Linked DNA regions of Macaca fascicularis. The protein of the gene in region 1 purifies or fractionates together with the protein of each later gene. This does not show direct contact. Links are inferred from orthologs where the notes say so. Each region holds a gene or a part of one and is shown in the gene's direction. Other genes may lie near its edges.

The links. The genes of interacting proteins can lie anywhere in the genome.
Region 2: the proteins of BET1 (region 1) and STX7 purify together in Homo sapiens (affinity purification with mass spectrometry; 3 studies listed by BioGRID and IntAct, with this or other methods). This does not show direct contact. The link is inferred for Macaca fascicularis from reciprocal best matches to the Homo sapiens genes BET1 and STX7.
Region 3: the proteins of BET1 (region 1) and GOSR2 purify together in Homo sapiens (affinity purification with mass spectrometry; 3 studies listed by BioGRID and IntAct, with this or other methods). This does not show direct contact. The link is inferred for Macaca fascicularis from reciprocal best matches to the Homo sapiens genes BET1 and GOSR2.
Region 4: the proteins of BET1 (region 1) and GOSR1 purify together in Homo sapiens (affinity purification with mass spectrometry; 3 studies listed by BioGRID and IntAct, with this or other methods). This does not show direct contact. The link is inferred for Macaca fascicularis from reciprocal best matches to the Homo sapiens genes BET1 and GOSR1.

What each region holds. Positions count from the first base shown.
Region 1 is NC_088377.1:127,321,444-127,325,591, forward strand, and holds the start of BET1 (BET1 homolog), read left to right. Parts: upstream 1-1,348; 5' UTR 1,349-1,490; coding exon 1,491-1,509; intron 1,510-4,148. UniProt on the Homo sapiens protein: Required for vesicular transport from the ER to the Golgi complex. Functions as a SNARE involved in the docking process of ER-derived vesicles with the cis-Golgi membrane.
Region 2 is NC_088378.1:36,426,606-36,430,105, reverse strand, and holds part of STX7 (syntaxin-7), read left to right. Parts: intron 1-383; coding exon 384-477; intron 478-1,156; coding exon 1,157-1,294; intron 1,295-2,140; coding exon 2,141-2,193; intron 2,194-2,700; coding exon 2,701-2,797; intron 2,798-3,500. UniProt on the Homo sapiens protein: May be involved in protein trafficking from the plasma membrane to the early endosome (EE) as well as in homotypic fusion of endocytic organelles. Mediates the endocytic trafficking from early endosomes to late endosomes and lysosomes.
Region 3 is NC_088390.1:66,846,360-66,849,859, reverse strand, and holds part of GOSR2 (Golgi SNAP receptor complex member 2), read left to right. Parts: intron 1-1,400; coding exon 1,401-1,537; intron 1,538-2,395; coding exon 2,396-2,528; intron 2,529-3,500. UniProt on the Homo sapiens protein: Involved in transport of proteins from the cis/medial-Golgi to the trans-Golgi network.
Region 4 is NC_088390.1:36,007,629-36,011,128, forward strand, and holds part of GOSR1 (Golgi SNAP receptor complex member 1), read left to right. Parts: intron 1-325; coding exon 326-413; intron 414-752; coding exon 753-860; intron 861-3,500. UniProt on the Homo sapiens protein: Involved in transport from the ER to the Golgi apparatus as well as in intra-Golgi transport. It belongs to a super-family of proteins called t-SNAREs or soluble NSF (N-ethylmaleimide-sensitive factor) attachment protein receptor.

The sequences.
Region 1 (4,148 bases):
GTTAGTTCTGGTAAATATTAACATATTTTCAAAAATAACGGTTTCTACATTTCTATCAGCAAACTTTCAGTAAGACAATTTTTAAACATGTTTTAATTATATAATATGCAATTTTTTTAACCAGAGGACGTCACAGATTTTAACTCATAAAGGGATACCTAGCTATCATTTCTTTTATTGAATCTTCATCTTTTATTTGTAATAATTGTCCCTGATATTATGCTCAGTTAATTCCATTGCTTTTAGAAAATGGCGATTTTTTTCTATCAAAACACTATTGGATAAAGCTTCCTTCCCAGGTTAATAACTCTTATCAAAAATTGTTTTCGTGTGTTTTTTACCAGAGCAACTTAACGCAGAGACTTATGCCACTGTTATAGTCAATGTTAATAATGTCCTGGGAAACTATGAGGAAACGCTAAGTGATCAGAGATCACATATTCGGAAACTCTAGTGTGGAGACGATTCCACTGCCATATATACAGCAGCAACAACAAAACCGCAGACACCCAGTGGATTTTGATGGCCTCCTGTGTATCAGGTTTTTTTTTTTCCTTCAAAAACCATGATTTCATCGTATTCTCACGATAAATAATCCTGTGAGATAAAATGAAATTCTAGGATTAACCCCGATACCAGTAACACCTCCAACTCGCCAGCAAGCTTTTAAACCCCTAAACTGGCACACTGCTTTGTGTAAAAAGTTAAGTGGGAGGGAGTTTAGGGGTCCTTTGGTCCCTATAACAACTAAAAGTCTTGGTTCCTTCTAGAAGTACAACAGATGCAGTAACAGGGAACTAACTATTCACAAATTATTCAGTGCCTCCGACGAGACCCCGCGCCTTTCCTAGTTGGCTCTTATCCGAGCAGGAGTCCTACTCAAAGGCACCTGGTTTTCTCTCCTTTACCGGATACTACGAGGCACACATCGGTTACTTCTGTGGGTGTCGGATTACTTGTTTGTAAACTGAGAAACCTGAACAAAGTTTTGTCTAACTTTCCCTCAACTGCCTCTGGAGGTGAGAGGGAGTACGAGGCTGAATCAGGAAAGATACCCCAACCACCCTCTTGTGGGTCGGGAGGAGCAGATCTGCTGGGTTAATCTTGGTGGTTAACAAACTGAAAGCAGCTACCTGAAGCTGCGAGCGGAGCAGCTGGAACGTTGTCGGAGCAGCAGTAGAAGCCGGCCCCTTTACCGGAAGCCCCGGCCGCCCCTGGAACCTGGCTCACACCACGCCCTCAACAACACTTTATGCGTCGGTGAACTACATTTCCCAGAATGCCATTCAACCTTCTTCCCAGGGCTCCAATGAGCGCCCTGGTGACGCCATCAGCAGGCGCGGTGTTTAGACTACACTGATGTCGTGGCGCTTTAGGGGAAGAAGTTGGTGTTTCGCCCGGCCCTGGTACTGAAGACGCGGTCGGGGTCACAGCTCTTTCCTACTCACCCAACCCCCCGCGCCCGCCTTTTCTCTCTCTCCTCTGGCAGGATGAGGCGTGCAGGCCTGGGTAAGAAGAGGGCTGAGGTTCGAAGTTCGGGGCCCTAGAACCGGCCATGCTGGGCGCGGAAAGAAATCGAACCTGTCTTCTGTTCCTGGCATTTGGTCCAAAAAACAGGCTGTCTAGAGGGGATCTTTGTGGGCCAAGTCGAATGGAAACATACCATTTGTCCCAGTTCCTTGGAGTTTCCTTAAGTCTGAGTCAGATTCAAGTTTGGATGGTAGGCTAGAGAAAGTAGTGGACTGGGGGTGGGTGTGTACAGGTGGCATCTCAGTGGTCGAGTGTCTTAGTGTTATTGCCTGAGCGTGGTTATGGACACTGCTATGTTTTCCAAAGCCCGACTCCGGTTTCTCTTCCTCTACTGGCCCTGGATCTTAGTTTCTTCAGAAGTGGAATTTGAAGAGTGGGTGGTTGCACGCAAAACACACTAGTAGTAGTGGTCGTTAGTCTGGTAACAGTGAGTTACAAAGGTAAATAAATGTACGTGTCATTATTGTTAAAGGTCCTGGAACTGTAACTTCTGGGTCAAAGGCGATTTCTTAATCTGAACCTTGTGCCACGGTTAAGGCAGTAGAACGTGATAAGGTTTGGCGACTTAACATTTGATCTTTACCTTTGGGGTTAGTAAAGTGGCTCATCAGCAAGAATAAGTTAGACCCAAGGAATTTTAATGGGCCCTTATAGTAACGCACAGCTACTAGAACAGCATTTTCTGATTCTGAAGCTTTCTCTTAGGACACGATTTATTTTTTATTTTTTTTTTTTTTAAAGAAGACCCTGCTAAATTAAGAGTGCAGTATACTTCAGAAAATAAATGAAACTTTTGAAAAAAGATAGTGTTACCTTTCTCAGTCATTATAAGATTGAAGAAAGAAAAACAAATTCCCCAATGTGTCAGATATAATGAAAGTTGCCAATAACCATAGACTTGTTTATTTATTAATAAATTGTAGTATGAAAAAGTTTTTTGTTTTTTTTAATGAAGTTTTTATGAATACTTGGATCATAGAAAGTGGGGCCAGGTAAATTGATGAGAAAAAAAAAAGAAAGAATTTTGAGTAAGTTTGGTTTTATATGTGTAAATGTTTTTCTTGTTCATCATCATTAATGACAAAAAAAGATTTATTGTGTGCTTGAGTAAGCTCTAGGTATACAGTTGTTTGTTGCCCGGTTTGCGATCCCCAAAGCTTCCAGTCTAGTTGGAGAGTAGAAATATGTGCAAAGATAAGTTATAGTACAAAGTAGTCGCTATACATCCAAATACCAGATAGGTTCTACATACAAGGGATGGTCTCAGAGATTTCAGAGACAGATTACTGTGTACTTTGTGGAGAAGATCCTTGTGTATTTTGTGGAGACATAGGAATTTGAAGTAGACCTTGAATAATTGAGAGTAGGGGAAGTGGGTTCCAGATAGGAGGAACTAAAAAGAAATAAGGGATTATGATTAAACCAGTTTGGGTGAAGTAAGTGATGCGGGATCACACTGTGGAGATCTTCGCATGCGAGGCCAAAGAGTTTGGATTTCATCAGTAGGCCCCTAGGCCCTTTTGAGCATTTTTCTGCTGCAGTGTGCCATGTTAAATTACAGGAAAGTGACTTGAGTAATGATTCTCAGCCCTGACTGTACATTAGAATCCCCTGGGAAATTTTTAAAGTATTGTTTCCTGGACCTCAGCTCAGCCAGTTAAATTAGAATTTCACTAATTTAGAACCCACTACCTACTCTTTAAAAAAAAAAAAAAAACAAAACATTTTTTCTTTTCTTATTTTTAAAGTATGAATGTATATTGACCTGAAATTTTAAATTTGGGATCATAGTGAATCTGATAGATATCTGTAGGCAGAAGTTGCCACACTTCACATGATAACTGGTTTTGTTAGCTTACTGATAGAACCCATCCAAAAGAAGTAGCGTTTATCTAAATAAACAAAGGCTGAGGATGATCTTCAGTAATCACTAGCTTTTTTACAACTTTTCATAGCAGTACACCACCAGAAGGGAAGTGGCTCTGTTTGGAATAGCAATTCTAGCATTTTATTTGTTTTTTACTTTTTTCATTGTATTTGGGATGGGTCATAGTTTGAGGGAAGATCAACTCTTCAATAGAAATGTGCATTGATATATTTTTGGCAATAAATACAACAAGAATATCACTTTGAATAAATGGAACAGCATGGAAGAACTCTAAAATTAAAATTAAGATAGGCAAAAGCAACTAAACAAAGGAAAGAAAATAGGAAAGAAAAAATTTAGAATGAATTCCTTGGTGAAGTTGTCAAATGTTTCCATTCAACCAGTCAGTAATTACTTACTGGGTAAATGTTGTATACTCAGAACCTCAGCCACACAAAATAAGAAGACATTATTCTTTTCTTTAAGTATCTTGGCCCTTATTAAACTACAGTTTGCACAGAGTATCATTGATTAATAGAGTAGGAATGCGTTTTTAAATGGTAACTTTAATTGTTGACTGGGGGAAAAAATATGCCCACTCCTTGAGTTCTTTTATAATAACACATGTGGAGAGCTTTATGGATAGTGTGTCAGCAGGAAAATTCAGATAGTACAACTCTCTTCTGTTTGGAAAATACTTCTCCAATATTTTGTTGTGGTTTTTGTGGTGGTGGAGATTGCATAGGTATCT
Region 2 (3,500 bases), on another chromosome or scaffold:
TTTTCTTGCTCACCTGACCTTCCAGGTGTGAGATGCAGATTAAGGGCTGCCACATCCCCAGTATCTCAAACAAAGGATCAGACATCCAACAGTCTCTCCTTCAAGTTCCCTCTGATTTGAGTCATCTGTGTTTCTAAATGGTCATTGATACTGGTTTCTCTAAGCTCACCTACCCTGTGTCAGTGAAGAACCTGACATGTAATATTTGCTCAATATTTATCAAAGAATAGGATATGAAATTTTTTTGATAGAGAAAGTTGAGAGCCAGTTTATGAAAAGGCAATTTTTGTACAACTCTTTGTCAGTGTTGATTCAAATGACAGAGTTGTAGCTTAAAGAAGTGTATTAGTCCTTTGGTTGTAATGCGTGCTTTCTCACTTTAGGCAACAGAAGCAGCAGTATACTAACCAGCTTGCCAAAGAAACAGATAAGTACATTAAAGAGTTTGGATCTCTGCCCACCACCCCCAGTGAACAGGTATCAAGCTTTAAGACACATTGTTGATGCATTGAATGTGAAAAAAACCAAATACGTTGTAGGATCTTTGAACTGTTACGCTAGAAAGGAAATTATGCTAGAAAGGAAATCAAAAATAATTCTGTTTGAGATTAGTTCATAGAACACAAAACTATATTTAATTGCTCAGGTAGTATCCTGTGGTTCAATAAAGCAAAAATTATTTCCATGCATTTGCCCTGACCCATAATTAAGTAAGTTCTCAGAAAATGCTTCCTGAGTAATTATTTCCTGGCCTTCCGGGGCTGAGTGCGTGGAACATGCAGGCTCATTCAAGATGTGAGGTGTCCTGGGGGCATATATTTATTTCCCTGCTTATTTAATGGAAGTTATTACTTAGCTAAAAGTATAAGGCTTTATTTGCCTGAAAAGGAATTACTTTAAAATAGCCTCAAAATAATGAGCTAGTTTTTAGCAGCATGAAAACTTGAGGTGAGAAATCCAGCATAATGGGTCTTTTGCCTCCAGTTAAATATGCTCGGTATTTGACATACTGTCAGAATGTTGTTGAGAGTTAATCCGTAAGGCCCTGTAATTGGGGAGCAAGTGAAAACTTCAGGATTAAATAAAGAACCAAGTACTGCAAACTGTTTTACTTCACAGCTAGATTCTAGTTGGCTTTTTCTTCTCTTTCCTCTAGCGTCAAAGGAAAATACAGAAGGATCGCTTAGTGGCAGAGTTCACAGCATCACTGACAAACTTCCAGAAGGTTCAGAGGCAAGCGGCTGAGCGAGAGAAAGAGTTTGTTGCTCGAGTAAGAGCCAGTTCCAGAGTGTCTGTGAGTATTTTAAAAGACATTCTAGAAACGACCCTTACTTCCTAAGGGTCCTATCAAAGTCTATAGTAGCATAATTTTTTAAGTCATAAAGATCTGTGACTAACTTGGAAATCAGCACTTGAATATTCATTTTTATGCTTTTCTGCTCCATTTTTGGAGAAGATGATAATTATGTATTACTGTGGTTTTTTTTCTGTGTCATTGTACAGAAGATTACAGACTATATAAAAATATAGAGACGTATTTTGTCAAAAAAGATGAGGGATCAAACCCTGAGTAGTATTCTCACATCGTCTTGGTACGGAGGCTTTCTGCTTGTGGACACACTAGTATAGAAAGCACTTTCCTCCTGGATTACACCAAGATGACGGAGATGAATGGCGCAACTATGTTGTCTGAATATTGAAAATGAACATGAGCCTGGAGAAAATAAATGAAAGGAAGCTTTACAATAGAATTTTGAATTAATTTAATTTTAAATTCCCTTACAAACTATCACGAGTTTTCTTATTCATTAACATATGAATTCCAAGACTACATTAAGCTTTAACTAAATAATACTTATTTGACCCTTGAGAATGTTTAGTGTTTGTCTACTTAGAATATAAAATTACTTATAATTATGTTATTACTTGAAGCAGTTGACCTGAAAAATTAGAACAAGAACTTCTTTCTCTCTCTCTCTACACACACCACACACACACACACACACACACACACACACACACACACACAGAGACATGTACATAAATCGTTTAGATTATTAGGGAAAATATGAGTGTTTATTTTTTCTCATTTTTGCTTTCTTTGCCACTTCTCATTCCATCCTGTTACTAAATCATTCAGGGCGGTTTTCCTGAGGACAGCTCAAAAGAAAGGAATCTTGTATCCTGGGAAAGGTAAGAAATACAAAACATTTTTCAGATCAAAAGGTAATTTTTCAAAGTTTATACATTAAGGCCCCTGGAACAGAATTAAAGCTTTCAATATAAGTTGTTTATATGTTGAAAACAGAGTAAATTTGAAAAAAAATTTAATTATAAAGTATTTATCATAAAATATATAAAATTTTCCAAATAAATGTTTATGGACTTAATTAATAATATAGACTTTCCCTTATATGAGGTTTAAATCAACTAAGAAGAAATACCCAGTTGACAAATATAGCTTCCAATAATTAAGTAATAACTCTAAACTCACGTTAGATAAAATGATATAAGTGAAATGAAAAATGAATAAAATTTTATTCATATATCTGTTATAGTCTTAGAATTTTTTAAGTGAGTAGTTCTGCGACTTTGAAGAGTAAAACGTCCTATTTAATGAATATATCTTAAATAGGAAATGAATCTCATTGTTTTGAATACCAATCTTTGTTTTTTTCCACATTCATTTTTTTCTGTTAGCCAAACTCAACCTCAAGTGCAGGTGCAGGATGAAGAAATTACAGAGGATGACCTCCGCCTTATTCATGAGAGAGAATCTTCTATCAGGCAACTTGAAGTAAGGCTTACATTGTAGACTTGGGCTGCTACCCTGTTCTTAGTGAGTTTGTTCTCAAAATGCTTAGGTAATGCTGGCAGAGCGTACGAGAAAGAAATTTTATTTTTTTCTTTTTGAGACAGTCTCCCTCTGTCGCCCAGACTGGAGTGCAATGGCATGATCTCGGCTCATTGCAATCTCCATCTCCCAGATTCAAGCGATTCTCATGCCTCAGCTTCCTGAGTAGCTGGGATTACAGGCATGTGCCACCCCAACCGGCCAATTTTTTGTACTTTTAGCAGAGACAGGGTTTCACCATGTTGTCCAGGCTGGTCTCAAACTCCTGGTCTCAAGTAATCTGCCTGCCTTGGCCTCCTAAAGTACTAGGATTATAGGTGTGAGCCACCATGTCTGGCCCAGAGAAAGAAAATTAATGTATCAGTTTGGTAGCATTTGTAATGTATAAATTAGAATAATTCCTTTTTGAAAAAAATAATATTGTCCTTACTGTTTGTGCTAGGATGAGGGAACATACTCCCTCCTACTGCAGCTTTTAAAAAATTATGATTCTATTAAGCCATCTATGGACTACCTTAGTATTGAGAAAATACCAGTGTAGAGATAAATGTCTGTCCGAGAGTCTGGATGTCTTCCCAGGATACATGATACACATCATACGTGCATGAGTAAGACCTTTTATAAAGCCTTCAAAGAATTTTATTTC
Region 3 (3,500 bases), on another chromosome or scaffold:
CTGACTGCACTCTGCCTCGGGGGCTTAATGATTCAGCGTGGAATGAGTTTTGTTGTTAGGGTGGACAGAAAAACCCTATGGCAAAATCACTGATTTCCCTGAGTGTGCCCTTTGGAATCCCACAAGTCTTATCCCCCATTACCCCTCCACTCAACCTGACATGGCCCTATGGGAATGGAAGCGCTTGCCTCCATCTGTCTTAATCTAATTACCTAGTCCTTAGAGGAATGTACTCCATAAAAATTCAGAGATGTTTAACTGGAATTGGCCATTTCTTCTGAGCTGAGAACTGTGGCTTTTAAGGAGGATTATTCAGAAACGAACAGCAATATTAATTAGTTTAGTTCCCACAGCATGGTTTCTTTTGAGAAGCATGCTGGATTTTTGTTTTTTTTGGTTTTTTTTTTTTTTTCTATTCTAAGGAAAGATCTTTTTTCTGAGTCAGTCATATGGACACCACCTGCGGGGACTGCCTACCCACCCCACTGCTGGGCTCCCTCCGGACCCATTCCTCCTGTTCTCTCACGTCTCCTTTCACAGCTTCAAAAGCAGCTCTGTTCTTGGTTCTGTGCCCCACCTTGTTCTAATCTCAACTGTCTTTGTTTACTGTGGGCGCAAAGGCCTAGGAAGGGGCAGTGTCACTGCTGTCACTTCTTTATGGGCAAGAAGCAGTCTGGATGCTTTCTTTTGTGCACAGTTTAGCTTTTTTGTTCATTGGACTTTGTTTGCCTTCTCAGCAATCTCGTTACATGATTAGAAATGGAAAGAGGTCATTTTGACTGTCTTATCGAAAGAGATAAGGAAAATGACCGTATTTATCATATCTCTTTACCTCTGTGGATTCTTTCCTGGGCCTTTCCTATTGATATTTGGTCTATTTTGGGGACGTCAACATTGCTCAGCCCACCCATTCTTACAGAAAGCCTTAAGGGAGCTCTCCTCTGTATGTTTCACATACTAATCTTCCCCTTCCTTTATGCTTTTTTTTTTTTAATTAAAAAAAAAAAAAAAACTCATTACTATAGGGAATTCAACTGGCAGTCTTTTTACTAGGTATTTATAATCCACGTCTGAGAAATCCAAAGGAAAAGAGACCTATATCAGAAAATTTAGCTTAAAGTATTTATTTGTACAACCTTTGCATGTTTATTTTCTAAAGGTAGGAAATTTATTTCTACAGATTTACCTTCAGCTTTTTAAAAAAATTGGCATTGTTGTGTCATTAACAACTATATACATGTACTTTTTTCAAAACAACATTTACGGCATAATTTGAATTTTTTCTGTTATTCATTAGTGTATACATTTTTCTCCTTTTGAAATATGTAGTTCTAGTTTATTGGATATTGAAAAAAAAATCTGTAATTTATTCTAATTTAAGTTCACTATCTCTTTTCCAGCAATTATTCTTTTTTCTTTTTTGTACAGTAGTAGAAAACGAAATCCAAGCAAGCATAGACCAGATATTCAGCCGTCTAGAACGTCTGGAGATTTTGTCCAGCAAGGAGCCCCCTAACAAAAGGCAAAATGCCAAACTGTAAGTGCTGACCTCTGACATGGCACTGCTACTCCAGGCCTGGCAAGATAGGCTTTTCTCCTGGGGGGGGGGAGGCGATAGAATATTCTGAAAACCCACGTACATGTTGAAAAACTACGACTATGTAAAGAAAAAGTCCCCCCAAAGGGCACAGTTGTATCTGAGTAATGCTCCTCAAAATAAATAGCCTGTGAGGTTTGTGACTCAGAAACCTTGTGACCCCTTTGGTGTCATTTTGAAATTCTGCCTCCAGTTCTGTTTTTCTGACTAGACCCATAGCCACCTGAAGCCTAATGTTGCCATGGAGTTTTGTTCTGCTCTTTGGTTCCTGCTGGGTTCTTCTTGGGTTGAAATGAAAAATCACTTGAATCAGTCCACCCATAATGAAATGCTGATCTAATGTTTGATACTCCACCATGAAATTAAAATGAAACCACCTTCGCCACTCCACCCCCAGTGCCTGTTTCCAAAAGTTTTATGATACTTTGTGGATGCTTTACCTCAAAGATGCCCTTGGGCTTCTTCCAGGAGAGCGATATAATCCATAGAAGGTCAAGAAGAGGTCAGCGAGCCTGCTTCCTGTCCCCTGTTCCCTGTCATGCATCCAGAATCAGAGAGCAACAGATTCTGAAGTAAAGCTGCCAGAAGCTTGTGTGCTACCATCTCGCTTTAACCACACGTTACTTCTTTACTTTCAACATCATTGATCAAAATCAGATCTTGTGGTGGTGGGGTATAGCGTGGGGTGGTGTAGGGAGAAGTAAGGAAATGCTGTCTTTCCTGAATACAAAGCCTGGCCCCCTGAGACTCTGCTGCCCTGAGTTCCTGGAATTTAATCTCTCTCTCCATCAATTCCAGTCGGGTCGACCAGTTAAAGTATGATGTCCAGCACCTGCAGACTGCGCTCAGAAACTTCCAGCATCGGCGCCATGCAAGGGAGCAGCAGGAGAGACAGCGAGAAGAGCTTCTGTCTCGAACCTTCACCACTAACGTAAGCCAGGCCTGCGGTGAGGGTCGGCCTGCATTTGGCAGATTGTGGGGGCTGGAGTTCAGATCTCTGAGCGCCATCTGTTTTGGGGGTATCTGAAGAAGACTGGTGATGAGGAAACCAACTGGAAATGACGGGAACTTTGTGCATTGCCACAGAGACTAGACCTCGACAGAGAATCCCTTTTTCTAAGACAAAAACCTGAAGAGGAAGCAGTTAAATTGAAGGGGAATAGGCAGAGGTGAAAATTACCTGGTTGGACTGGTCTGAGACAGAAAGGTGGAAGTTCACATAGTGGAAACGTTTTTCTGATCAGATAGAGACAGATGATTAGAACTTAGGCCATTTGTAGAGAAGGCGGTATTTCAGAGCTGCCTGCGGGCAGTGGCCGTTGTGCCGGGTATGTGTGTGGTTCCAGTGTCAGGTGCATTAAAATGTTTTTGCCCCTAGTCTGAGCAGCAATTTGGAGGAATTTGTTAACGGATGTGTAGGGTTAGACGGACTGCTTGCCTGAGTCTGTCTGAAAATGTGTTGGTGTGCACGTTGGATTTCTCAGAACCCATTGTCCCTGCCCTTTAGTCTTAACCAGATCATTTCCTGCACGTGGCTGTAGAACAGACTGGCCTTTTCTGTGTCCTGCATAATATATTCCACTAAGTGAAGTGTGCTTTGGCTTTTTGTATGTTGTTTTTTACAGAGGATTATTTTCTAAAGAGATGTTAGCTTTCTAAGCCTGTTGTTAAAATTCACATCATTTCCCGCTTTGTAGATGTTTAACCCTCAATGCTGCATCCTTGCTTTGCAGTAAATTTCCCCAAGTGTTTCAGGCTCTGCCAACGTTGTTTTGCTTCCCCAGACTAAGCAGTCAAGTCGCAGTGTTTAACAGTTCAAAAATTTAATGAACTATAAGACACACTAAAAGATGGTTGGATTTTAGATCGTTAATAATGTAGTATTCAGGCCTTTTTTAGACCA
Region 4 (3,500 bases), on another chromosome or scaffold:
ACCAAAGTATGCAGGTGGCTGTATATATTGAATGTAAAGCCAGTTCCTGAGTATTCGTTAGCTAGTTATCCAATCTGTGGATCATTTAAACCTCAATCTTATTTCCTCTTGGTAAGAGTCAAGGAAAGAAGAGAGAACTTAAAGTTGAGGTTGAAGGAACCATAATTCCTTTGAGGTAAAAATGTAAAAGATTGTTTCTCACAGACCCTATATAACATAATCCATAATTCATTTTATGGTTCATATTAATTACCTTATTATTTTAAGTATGTTTTAAAGGACTGCATTTGAGTAATGGATCCTCTTTAACTGAACTTCTTTTTAGTTCTGATACAACACCTCTTTTAAATGGATCAAGCCAAGACAGAATGTTTGAGACAATGGCGATCGAGATTGAACAACTTTTGGCAAGGGTAAGTGCTTTGTTAAATGGCTGTTTTGCAAATAACTGTATACTTGTTAGATAGGATCCTGGATTGTATTGAGACAGACATGTTTAATGAAATTATCCATTCCATTCAAGATGTGTACCTCCCCACACCACTTGAATTTTGATGACAGCCATTCTCAGGTGATACGATGTTATTTTGGTCTTTATGGATTATGTGGGGGAATGCTTAATTCTTACTTGATATCTTGTTTGTTTTTTGTTTTGTTTTGTTTTGCTGTCAACCAAAAGGGCATATAGGCAAATAATTTGCTTTTAGCTGTTTATAGTGCTTAGTAAAATATTTTTTTTTCTTTATTTCTAGCTTACAGGGGTAAACGATAAAATGGCAGAATATACCAACAGTGCAGGTGTCCCCTCCTTGAATGCGGCCCTGATGCATACATTACAGCGGCATAGAGACATATTGCAGGTAATATATTGGGCTCGAGACATTTTCATTATCACAGGAGTTCGGGTTTTTTTTTTTTTTTTTAATCTCTGCATTGGATATATGCACATGTATTTAAAATGACAAAGAGAAACATCTGAGAAAATAAATGCCATGCTAGAGGGACTTGTTTTACTTTTTTTTTTTTTTGGTCACCATTATAAAATTCTGAAAATATCTAATAGCTCTTGCTATTTCCTGGCGAAGTTGACTAATATTCATCACTGGGTAATATACTTCCATTCTGGGAGACCTAGCTAGCTAGCTGTAACCGTGAACTAGTCAATGGTCATGTATAGACAGTAACATTGTGGGTTAGAGTGTGCTTTCATCTGGCTTTGAAGATGACTTATTTACTATACTCAGTGTATTGTTTGAGAAAACAATAAATGTTTATGCACCAATAAAACTAAACTCTTAAAGATTTAAATGGAGGATATGTTAAAAATATAGTAGTACAAATAGGAAGGCAATTTTTTTTTTTTTTTGAGATAGGGTCTCTCTGTCACCCAGGCTGGAGTGCAGTAGTGCAATCACAGCTCACTGCGGCCTCAACCTCCCAAGCTCAAACAATCCTCCTACCTCAGCCTCCTGAGCATCTGGGACCACAAGCACATGCCACCACACCTGGCCAATTTTTTAAAAGTTTTTTAGCAGAGACACGTCCTTGCCGTGTTGCTCAGGCTGGTCTGTAACTCCTCTGTTCACAGGTTTTTACTATGTTGCCCAGGCTGTTCTCTTAACTCCTGTGTGTGGGCAGTCTACCCACCTCGGCCTTCCAAAGTGCTAGAATTACAGGCATGAGCTGCTGTACCCAGCCACAAATATTTTTAATACTGTGAAAAGTCAGCAACTATTTCTAATTTTAAAAACTGTTTTTAAAAGTAGGAATAGATGGCCAGACGCGGTGGCTCATGCCTGTAATCCCAGCACTTTGGGAGGCATGAGGTGAGTGGATCACCTGAGGTCAGGAGTTGGAGACCAGCCTGGCCAACATGGCGAAACCCCGTCTCTACTAAAGTACAAAAATAAGCCAGGCAATAAAAACATTCCCATTGAATAAAACAACACAAGGATACCCATGATCACTACAAATGCATAACATTGTTTTTGAAGTTCTTGATGGTGCAATTAGACAGTAAAAAGAAATGAAATGTAGGCTGGGCATGGTGGCTCACGCCTCTTGTCCCAGCACTTTGGAAGTCTGAGGTGGGTGGATCATTTGAGATCCGGAGTTGGAGACTAGCCTGGCCAACAGGGTGAAACCCCTTCTCTACTAAAAATACAAAAATTAGCGGGGCATGGTGGTGGGTGCCTGTTATCCCAGCTACTTGGGAGGCTGAGGCAGGAGAATAGCTTGAACCCTTGAACCCAGGAGGTGGAGGTTGCAGTGAGCCGAGATTGAGCCACTGCACTCCAGCCTGGGCAACAGAGTGAGACTGTCTCAAAAAAAAAAAAAAAAAAAAAGTTGTAAATATTGGAAAGGAAGAGGCAAAATTTCTGTGAGGTAGCAGGATAAAATTTTATGTCTAGTATACCCAGGAAAATTACCTGATAAAAAGTTAGAAACAATTAAATTCAGTAAGATGGTAGATTATAAAATGAATACATAAAAGCAAATAGTTTTCCTACTATGATAGGAAATAAATGATAACCTGTTAGAAAATATAATGGAAGAAACTATAAAGTATTTATGTATGAATTAAATAAGAAATGTGTAGGACTTGTATGTGCAAAATTCTACTGAGGGACATAGAACAAGATTTAAGTAAAGGAAAGAATCAGTCCGTTTTTGGATGGGAAGACTTTCGTCTGAATTGCATGGCATCCCAGTGGAAACAGCAGGGTTGTTTTGTTGTTTGTTTAATTAAAAACAAATGACAGAATGATACCAAAGTTCATTTGGAATCATAGACATACAAGAACAACCAAGAAGAACAACTTGAAAATGAAGATAAGTGGTAGAGGGTTTGTAGTTCTCCCAGATCTTAAAACCTGTTAAAAAGCTGAAATAGTTGAAACAGTTTGATACTAGAGGGAAAAATAATTAAATAAATAAGAACAATTAAACAGAGTAGAGTTTATATGTAGACCCAATTATGTATGGAAATTTTTAGTTTCTGATAAAGATGTTGTTTAAAATCAGTGCGGCAAAGAGAAATTATAAAATAAATGGAACTATAACCATTGCCTAATTATTCAGGGATTTAAAAAAAAAAATTCTATCTCAATCCTCACATCCAGAACAAATTCCAAATGGATCCAAGAAGTGTAGAAAAAGAAACCATAAAGCAGAGGTGAAATTTATAAACTTTTGAGCAGAAAGGACTTTCTAAATAAGACTTGATACTGGAAACTGTAACAAATGACTAATTTGCTTACTACACAGAGAAATAATAGAAATAAGAAAAAGACACTAGGAAAATGGACAAAGGGTGTAAAATTGCTTACAAAAAATGAGTGGCCAAAACTATAAAAACAGTTTCAGCAGTATTTCCAAATAAAAATACAGAAATCTAAAAGAGGTGATTTTTCACCTGTCAGGTTAGCAAATGTTGAAACATTTATAACCCATTATTGGCAAGAATAAAAATTAAAAAACGGCACTCCTATATTGCTGGT